2 linked regions of the Ovis aries genome follow. The protein of the gene in region 2 interacts with the protein of the main gene of each other region in a pairwise test. Links are inferred from orthologs where the notes say so. Each region holds a gene or a part of one and is shown on either strand. Other genes may lie near its edges. The genes, in order: TXNL4A and RHEBL1.

Region 1 (4,462 bases), on a different chromosome or scaffold from region 2:
AGTCCAGCCTCAATGTTGGAATTTTACTCACTTTAAAACAGCTGGGGTATCCAAACAGAGCTCGTAACAAGATGAGGAAGATCTCCCATTATCTGCCATTTCTGCAGAGGGAGATAGACAGTTAAATTGTTCTTTATACTAAAACCTTAGATTTCAAAAATTCCTGTTGAACGTCCCCAAAAAGGGCTTCCAAAATTATAAACTCATATTCTGCCCTTACACTAAGCAGAAAATAGAACATTAACATTTGTGTAACGCATTTCAAGTTTGCATTTTTAAAGACTATACTATTACATAGTATTAGAAGTTTATTAAAATAGAAATCGGGATAAAAGAAAAAGAATCACTTAAAAGACTAGAGAAAAATACTCCAAGTGAGCCCAATTAAACTGTTCTTACCAACAGGTTCCATTCCAAAAAGAGCCACCTGCTAGCAGTATAGCAATCTGGTCTCTGACCGCTACATAGGGATTAGAAAAGAACAATTCTGGTAAAAGTCCCTAAAAACTTACACTGACACAAAATCTGTCTCCTAGCTAAGAGTATCTTGCTGAGTTTTGCTCAGATATGAACAGCAAACAACCCTCACGCCTCTGCCATTCTAGCCTCGTGCTGAGGGCCACCGGGTCTGGACATCCCCTGATGCTTACTTGTCACCTGCAAGGCAGAACCCAGAACACCCACCTAAGTTACATCAGCGTCCACACAGCAGTGATTCACTTACTGAAACAGGGTCTTCATCCATCATCACTGACTTCTGCAGTCTCTGCCCTTAACCACTGTGGCTCAAGTCATGGGGAAATGACTTCTGGGCACCACCTCACTCCTGACCTCGGACCTGACAGGGAGGACCCAATTGGAAGAACCCTGCTCTCCTGAGTTCCCCAGGCATCTCTTCAAGCTCCCTCAACACCTTTCTGTCCAAGAGGAAGAGGAGGGTAAGGTTATCACCACAGACTCCTGCTCTGACTTGGATCTCCTTGAAGGGATTCAGAATTCCTGGGGGAGCTTCTGGATCTCATCTCAGATCTCCAGGATCAGACTCTCTGAGATGCACTTTCGGTGACAGACACAGAAAGATAGTCCCTAATGTTCAGAGTGCCATCACCCCTACCTCACTCTGCCTGTCCTACCAAAGAGGAGACAGTGAAAATTACTGATGGCAGGTCAGACTACTTTTCAATTCCTAAATACAAACTATATCCTTACACCTGTTACTCTTTACTCAAAGGAGTTATTTTAATCCAGCCCATACTAGCATATCTTACTCCTGTGAAATAAATGATGGCTTCAATGTTTCCCTTATTTTTATACTCTTTAATAAAATGAATAACCTCTCAAATTAACATTGAATATTAAACTTTTTATTAATACCCTAATATTTTTGCCTCTTGCCCTATTACTACAGTTGCAAAAATCTAAATCAAATTTACCTTAAAATACCCATGAGACAATTACAGAAAGAGAATTAAGCCCTAGTTACTCAACAGTACCCTACAATTGCTCTTTATTGTCAGCAAAGGGCCACAGACAACCCCCTGTACTAAATTTAAGGATTAGGAAAACTAGTTCTAACATTACAGTTCTACCTTTTCCCAGTGTTTCCTACACTGGTATCACTCTAAGCTATAAATCAAGTCACTTACAAAGAGCACCCTGGGGTAAAGAAGGGACTCAAAGAAAAAGAAGGGAATTTACTATGTTGTTACCATAGATGTTCTGCTCAATACATACAACAAACAAACACGGTACCAAAAAAAAGTCAAGTTTTTTAAACTAAGCCATTCAAAGTAAGCTCCTACACTCAGCCAAATGCTGCAAACGTGTTTTGCTCCTGGCACTATAGATGTAAATTTTTGAAAACACCTATGAGTTAAAACCGCTATAAATTAATAAGAATCACTTCTTCAAGGAGAGACATCATGAACCTCTTAAAAATTTGAGAATCTATGGAAACTTCTGCCAGTAAGGATATAAGCTATTCTGACCAATTTCAGGGAGCCCATCCTCATACTCCAAGGTATGTCTGTACTTCTGTGAATCCTACTGCTTCTCTTTAACCGGTGAACTGGCTGTACTTTTAATTCTTACCGGCAAAACAACAGCAATCCGACAGGATGCAAACACCAAACCTGGCGGCAGGACGTGACGGGAGGTGTGGCTGCTTTACCTTTTCAGCAATGCTGTACAGAACCTCATCCATCTTCATGCAGGTAGGGTCCCAGTCGTGCCCAAATCGAATGACGACCACGCGGTCTTCTTCCGAAAGGATGGCCTGATCAACCTGCCAGCCATTGTGCAGGTGCGGGAGCATGTACGACATCTTGAGCCAATGGGTCTGCGGGGGAGTGGAGGGAAATCACCGGCCAGTTCCTCCCAGCCCCCCCATGGCACACCCACGGGACCCCCCGCCCCACGGAGCCTCACCACGGGGGCCCCACCCCACGGAGCCTCACCACGGAGCCCACGGAGCCTCACCACCGAGCCCACGGAGCCTCACCACGGAGCCCACGGAGCCTCACCACGGAGCCCACGGAGCCTCACCACGGGGGCCCCACCCCACGGAGCCTCACCACGGAGCCCACGGAGCCTCACCACGGAGCCCACGGAGCCCCCGGCTCACGGGGGCTCACCCCGAGGGGCAGTCGATGCGCCGCCCGCAGGGCCAGGCCCGCGTCTACCAAGTTCCGACCCCGATCCCGCCACAGGAACGCCACTGTCCCCCGGCCAAGAAACCAAGGCGAGGGGACCCCTGGAATCGCACACCCGCGCATCACTCGCCGCCCCCTTCCCACCGTCTCCAGCCGCGCACCCACCTCTGCCCACACCGGACCCTCCCGCTCAGCAGTCCTTCCGGGCGCGGAGCGCTCCCACAGGCCGAGAGCGCCGGCGAGTGAGCCCGCCCGCCCACAGAGCGTGAGCGCCGGCGAGTGCGTGCGCGCGCCCGCAGAGCGTGTGCGCCGGCCAGTGCGTGCGCGCGCCCGGGCCGGGCAGGGGCGTGGACTCCGCTCAGGTACTGGGGCTGAAGGTGGGTTTAGTGTCATGAGCGTCTTAGAGGCGGCGGCTGCTTCAGACCTACTGTGTCTCCAGTGAGTCGGCGTTCAAGTTTCCTCGGTGCGACTGGGACCAGGGAGTGAACGAAGAGGATAACCTCTCTGAAGAAGGGCTCGTCGCCGTTCACTCCCACACAGAGCCCCCTAATTATTTTGGAGGCCCTGCTTTCCAGACGCAAGCACAGTTGCTTTACTTGTGAAAAGCGGTTCATTAACAGAAGAGTACTGGTAAGACGCAAATGCCCCCCAAATAAGTTATTGAAATTAGTATTTCTAAACATTTTTTGTTGTTCAGTTGCTCAGTCGTGTCCGACTCTGCGACCCCATGAACCGCAGCATGCCAGGCCTCCCTGTCCATCACCAACTCCCGGAGTCCACCCAAACCCATGACTATTGTGTCGGTGATGCCATCCAACCATCTCATCCTCTGTCTTCCCCTTCTCCTGCCCTCAGTCTTTCCCAGCATCAGGGTCTTTTCAAATGAGTCAGCTCTCCGCATCAGTTGGCCAAAGTATTGGAGTTTCAGCTTCAGCATCAGTCCTTCCAATGAACACCCAGGACTGATCTCCTTTAGGATGGACTGGTTGGAACTCCTTGCAGTCCAAGGGACTCTCAAGAGTCTTCTCCAACACCACAGTTCAAAAGCATCAATTCTTCAGTGCTCAGCTTTCTTTATAGCCCAACTCTCACATCCATACATGACTAATGGAAAAACTGTAGCCTTGACTAGACTGACCTTTGTTGGCAAAGTAATGTCTCTGCTTTTTAAAATGCTGTCTAGGTTGGTCATATTGTTATCGTAAAATTTAAATAGTATCAGTTCAGTCGCTCAGTTGTGTCCGACTCTTTGCGACCCCATGAATCACAGCACGCCAGGCCTCCCTGTCCATCACCATCTCCTGGAGTTCACTCAGACTCACGTCCATTGAGTCCGTGATGCCATCCAGCCATCTCATCCTCTGTCGTCCCCTTTTCCTCCTGCTCCCAGTGCTTCCCAGCATCAGAGTCTTTTCCAATGAGTCAACTCTTCGCACGAGGTGGCCAAAGTACTGGAGTTTCAGCTTTACCATCAGTCCTTCCAAAGAACACCCAGGGCTGATCTCCTTTAGAATGGACTGGTTGGATCTCCTTGCAGTCCAAGGGATCTCAAGAGTCTTCTCCAACACCACAGTTCAAAAGCATCAATTCTTTGGCGCTCAGCTTTCTTCACAGTCCAACTCTCTCATCCATACATGACCACTGGAAAACCATAGCCTTGACTAGACAGACCTTAGTTGGCAAAGTAATGTCTCTGCTTTTCAATATGCTATCTGGGTTGGTCATAACTCTTCTTCCAAGGAGTAGGCGTCTTTTAATTTCATGGCTGCAATCATAAAAGTTACCATTTTAGCTATATAGTTCAGCGGCAT
Region 2 (4,262 bases):
TGGAAAGTACCAGGGGCAGAATCAAGGCAGCTGCCCCTTGCTCAAGGGCTCATCTCCAGGCTCACATGAGATGGCAGCGGCGCTCTTGCCCATATGAATTTTCCACCCGGGCAATCTCCTGGATCACTTTGGTGAAGATGCCTTGAGTCAGCTGCAAGGGATAAGGATTCAGGGCAAAAAAAAAAATTGGTTGAGTTCACTGCCAATACTACCCAACTCTTAGGTGAATGCCCCACTCCCCCACCATCCCCACCACCAAGCAGTGGCATAAAAAGAAAAACACTGCTGCCCCCACCACCCTCCTACTCTTCAGGCCCAATACCTGATTATTCCGAGCAGATGACTCCATAAATGTTGCACCCCAGGATGCTGCCAGCTTCTTCCCCTCAACAGCCTGGACCTCCCTAGAAGCAAATTCAGGACATGAAAATGAAAAATAGCAATGGGCCCCATGCTCTCTGAAAAATCTTTACAGAAACTAGACTTCCTCTGACTCATCTCATTCCAAGGTTTGGGAGAACGTCTGTGGAAGAAGAAAATACAAGAAAACAAAGGAACCTAGGACTGAGGCTTGAAATATGAAATTATAGCTTTTGAGATAGAAGGATCATTTTGTCTCAACCTTCAAGTTAGAAACGAAGAGGTAAAACAACTGGTTTAAATCAGTGGCAGAGCCAGGACAAGAGCCTGACTCACTCCTAGACACTTTCCTTTGCCTTAAGCTACAGAGATTTCCATACCTGTCTGGAGAGAGATCGGCCTTGTTTCCCACCAGCACCACCGGCAGCCTGGGAGGAGACAGCAGTTACAACAGAATCCCCTCTGTTCCCCATGGACCCCAACCTCCTTCACATCATAGCTGGACAACTCCCCATCAAACCAGATAGGATCGATGTTCCGGCTTCCTCCTTAATTTGGATCAATACTCCCCTCTGCCCTCCGTCTTCCGTGGTGTCCACACTATGTCTTTATCCCCTGTGCCACGTACCGGGTTTTCCCGTGGCCTTCATGTAGCTTTTGGTACAGACTCTCAATGACTTGGAAGCTTTAAACACAAGAAAAGAATCTTACAATTTTATTCTGGGATAGCCCTCAGGTCTTCCCAAGTCCACCACTCTCAACCTCGGTCACTTACCTATGCAGAGAGGTGACAGAATACACAAGTACATAACCATGGACCCCAATGATGAATGAATAGGGCAGAATGCTGTACTCATCCTGACAAGAAACAGAAATATCAATACCTTGATTCACAAGACTCAGATGGCCAAGTTTGGTGGGCTGCATCCTGGGGACCCTCCCTGTGGCACTCCCTACTCCGGTCACTTCTATCCAACAAGTATTTATAGAGTAGCTCCAAACAACACTGCACACTGAAATACTGCTAAAATGCTTTTAATACTGCTTTACAGATGAGCCTCAGAGGCTACCAGACTTCATCTCCCAGGACTGAACTGCCACATTTAGACACCCTACCCCAAACTGGTACCTGCCCTGCTGTGTCCACCAGGTGTAGGTGAAACTCATCTTTGCCAACAGTCACTATCTTGCTGTAAGCTGAAAAGAAAAGAAAACTTGACTGTGAGGTGCCTTGTACGGCGAGCAATCTGTGCCCCTATATATTAACATAGATGGGCCAGGTTCAAGGAGCTCTCCAGGAAACTTAAGATACAATGTTAGGCTTCTTATTGTCTACACATGCACTATCCTGGACTCAGTATCTTGGAAAATGCACACTCTAGCTCCACTCACAGAACAGGATTGATAGAGAAGAGACTCGATTTAATATCTAATTAAATCATCCCTTTGGCACCCGGAAAATCCCAAAGTGTGGCCTTGGGTGGGGCACCTAAGCCCTCCCTACCCCACCCCAAGAGGAGAAATTTACTCACTATTCTCCACAGTAGGATCATAGTCTTCCAGGAACTCTCCCTCCACAAATTGATGTGCTAAAGATGTCTTCCCTGTGGGAAGCAGAGGTAATTGTAGCCAAATCACCCATCCACATTCATTTCCTCTGTCCTTTCGGGCTGTGGCCCTGGACTAAAGGAAACCCCGAATTAGCATCCTAGCCTGTGAATGCCCCATGCAATGCTTTCCCATAGACTCCTTCACCCTCTTTTCGCCCCAGGTCTCTGCACCTTGGCCACCGGATGCATACAGTAGCGACGCAGGAAGCTTTTCCTGCAGTCTTTCCCCACCCAACTCCTGGGAAGATCCGGATTCCCCAGGATTTAGTCAGCCTTGCATCCGACACCTGAGACTTGCCCCACCCAGACCGCGCCCCCGCCACCAAATCCTGCCCCCATCTCCACCCCCCCAGAGTAACGAACGCTGAGGACCACTGTGGTGTTCAAGCAGTAAGCCCATGTATACTCTTCCATGCTCCAGCTTCCTGCCGCCTTGAACACTACCACCACCCCAGCCTTTCCCACTCCAACCTTTCAGTCCTCGCTCTACAAGCTGGTTCTAAGGATGCCACCATTTCTCCCTGGGTCGCCTTCCCGCGGCAGTGCGCCTCCTCTGGCCACAAAGCCGCGGTGCATCGGTGCTCTGCCCTAGAGGGAGACTCACCTACAGAACGGTATCCGAGGATGACCACCTTCCTGTAGCGAACTAACGGCATGGCAGGAGCCGGCCCCGAGGGGCTTGCAGAACTTGGAGCTGAGAGAGCCCCAAGAAGAGAAAGTCGCAGTGCAGTCAGGTGTGGCAACCGGCACAGGAAAGTCGCTCACTCTGAAGCTGCCAGGGGCAAGCTAGAGGGAAACCAAAACAAGCGCCGCGCCCGGAGCTGGCCACGTGATCACAACACAGCAAGACTAAGGCGAGGGAGCCGGGCGACCGGGGAACTACACTGCCGCGCCGCTCAGGGCTCCGCCCCCCAGGCCGCTCGCCATTGGTCCATTAGAAAGGATAGGGGCGGAGCCGTTAGCAGGAGGGAAGGGCGGGCCTCACGTGGAGCGGGAGAAAAAGGAGTTGCGCATGCGCACACTAGACCCGGTTCATTCATAAAGAAACAGAAAGGAACCCGGGGTCCTAGAGGTGTTTGCGCGTTTGCAATCTAGTAATAGTGGCTGCAAAGAATCGTGGATGGAAAAGCGTTGTGGCTGGGCTGGAATTTATGGTTAAAAGATTCTAGGTCTCCCTTTTGCAAGATCTCCGGAGTCCTTGGGTAGGGAAAAAAGGCCAAAGTTGTAATATATCCCCCTCCAAACTTTAGCCCCAGATATTTTATTGTAAGGTTTCTGTAGTCTTCCAGGATCTAACTTCGGAACTGCGATTCTTATTCCTTGAAAAATTGTTAGAATTTGTGGCCAAGTCCTCTGAGGTTTAGCTGTTATCGTTATCACAATCAAAGCATTTATTTGTTCAACAAATATTTATTAAGCATATACTATATGTTTTAGTTATTGCTCCATCTTGGAAGATAAGAGTGATGAACACAATAGATAAGGTCTCTGAGTTCACAAGCTTAAAATTCAGTTGGGAAGAAACAAACATAAACCAGTAAATGTTAGATAATATTAAGTGCAACAAAAAAAGCAATGTTACAAGGGACTTCTGGGTGGTCCAAGGCAGAGTACTCTTTGTTCCCAATGCAGAGGGCGGGGGTTCAATCCCTGGTCAGGATACTAAGATCCCACATGCTGCAATTAAGACCCTGTGCAGACAAATAAATAAAAATAAAGGGGGGGGGCGGGGAACTGTGATAAGAAATGACGGATTAGTCATTAGTGACACAAATTAGTGGCTTTTCATTTCAAAAGAAGCCCCATTCAAGGTGAAGTTCAAATGACAGTAAGGAGCCAGCTAGGTAAACATTCAGACAGAAGAATCCACCGGCACTAGGATGGAAATAAGTTTGTGAAAATCCAGAAAAGAGAGAAAGCCAGTTAGCCTAAAGTAGATGAAGTCTAAGAGGATCGCAGGTGCTAGCCCATGTAAAGTAGTTTGGGCTAATTCTAAATACCTAGAAAGCTGCTGTTGATGGCTGTTGATGGTGTCATTAAGTAAATTGGGGCATGACATGATCTGAATTGTGTTTCTAAAAGATCTTTCTGACTGTGGAGAATGGATTGGGGTTTGAGAGAAACAGGAGCAAGTGGAACAAACAGGGAGATCAGCTAGGAGTCTGCTATTTGTAGACCAGGTAAGGGGTGAGAGTGGCTTGACTAGAGTGATAGTGATGAATGAATTTCATTCAGAGAATTCGGGGTATGTTTTGAGGCTGAGGTTAAGCTCACTTGCTTGCCGAAGGTATG

What was found.
Region 1: the proteins of RHEBL1 (region 2) and TXNL4A interact in a two-hybrid assay, tested with the Homo sapiens proteins (2 studies listed by BioGRID and IntAct). The link is inferred for Ovis aries from reciprocal best matches to the Homo sapiens genes RHEBL1 and TXNL4A.

What each region holds. Positions count from the first base shown.
Region 1 is NC_056076.1:701,075-705,536, reverse strand, and holds the start of TXNL4A (thioredoxin-like protein 4A), read right to left. Parts: upstream 2,896-4,462; 5' UTR 2,817-2,895; intron 2,339-2,816; 5' UTR 2,324-2,338; coding exon 2,171-2,323; coding exon of another isoform or gene 2,092-2,170; intron 461-2,091; exon of another isoform or gene 400-460; intron 102-399; coding exon of another isoform or gene 32-101; intron 1-31. UniProt on the Homo sapiens protein: Plays a role in pre-mRNA splicing as component of the U5 snRNP and U4/U6-U5 tri-snRNP complexes that are involved in spliceosome assembly, and as component of the precatalytic spliceosome (spliceosome B complex).
Region 2 is NC_056056.1:137,161,735-137,165,996, reverse strand, and holds the start of RHEBL1 (GTPase RhebL1), read right to left. Parts: upstream 2,827-4,262; 5' UTR 2,627-2,826; coding exon 2,575-2,626; intron 1,965-2,574; coding exon 1,893-1,964; intron 1,558-1,892; coding exon 1,490-1,557; intron 1,219-1,489; coding exon 1,136-1,218; intron 1,046-1,135; coding exon 989-1,045; intron 789-988; coding exon 741-788; intron 405-740; coding exon 323-404; intron 152-322; coding exon 62-151; 3' UTR 1-61.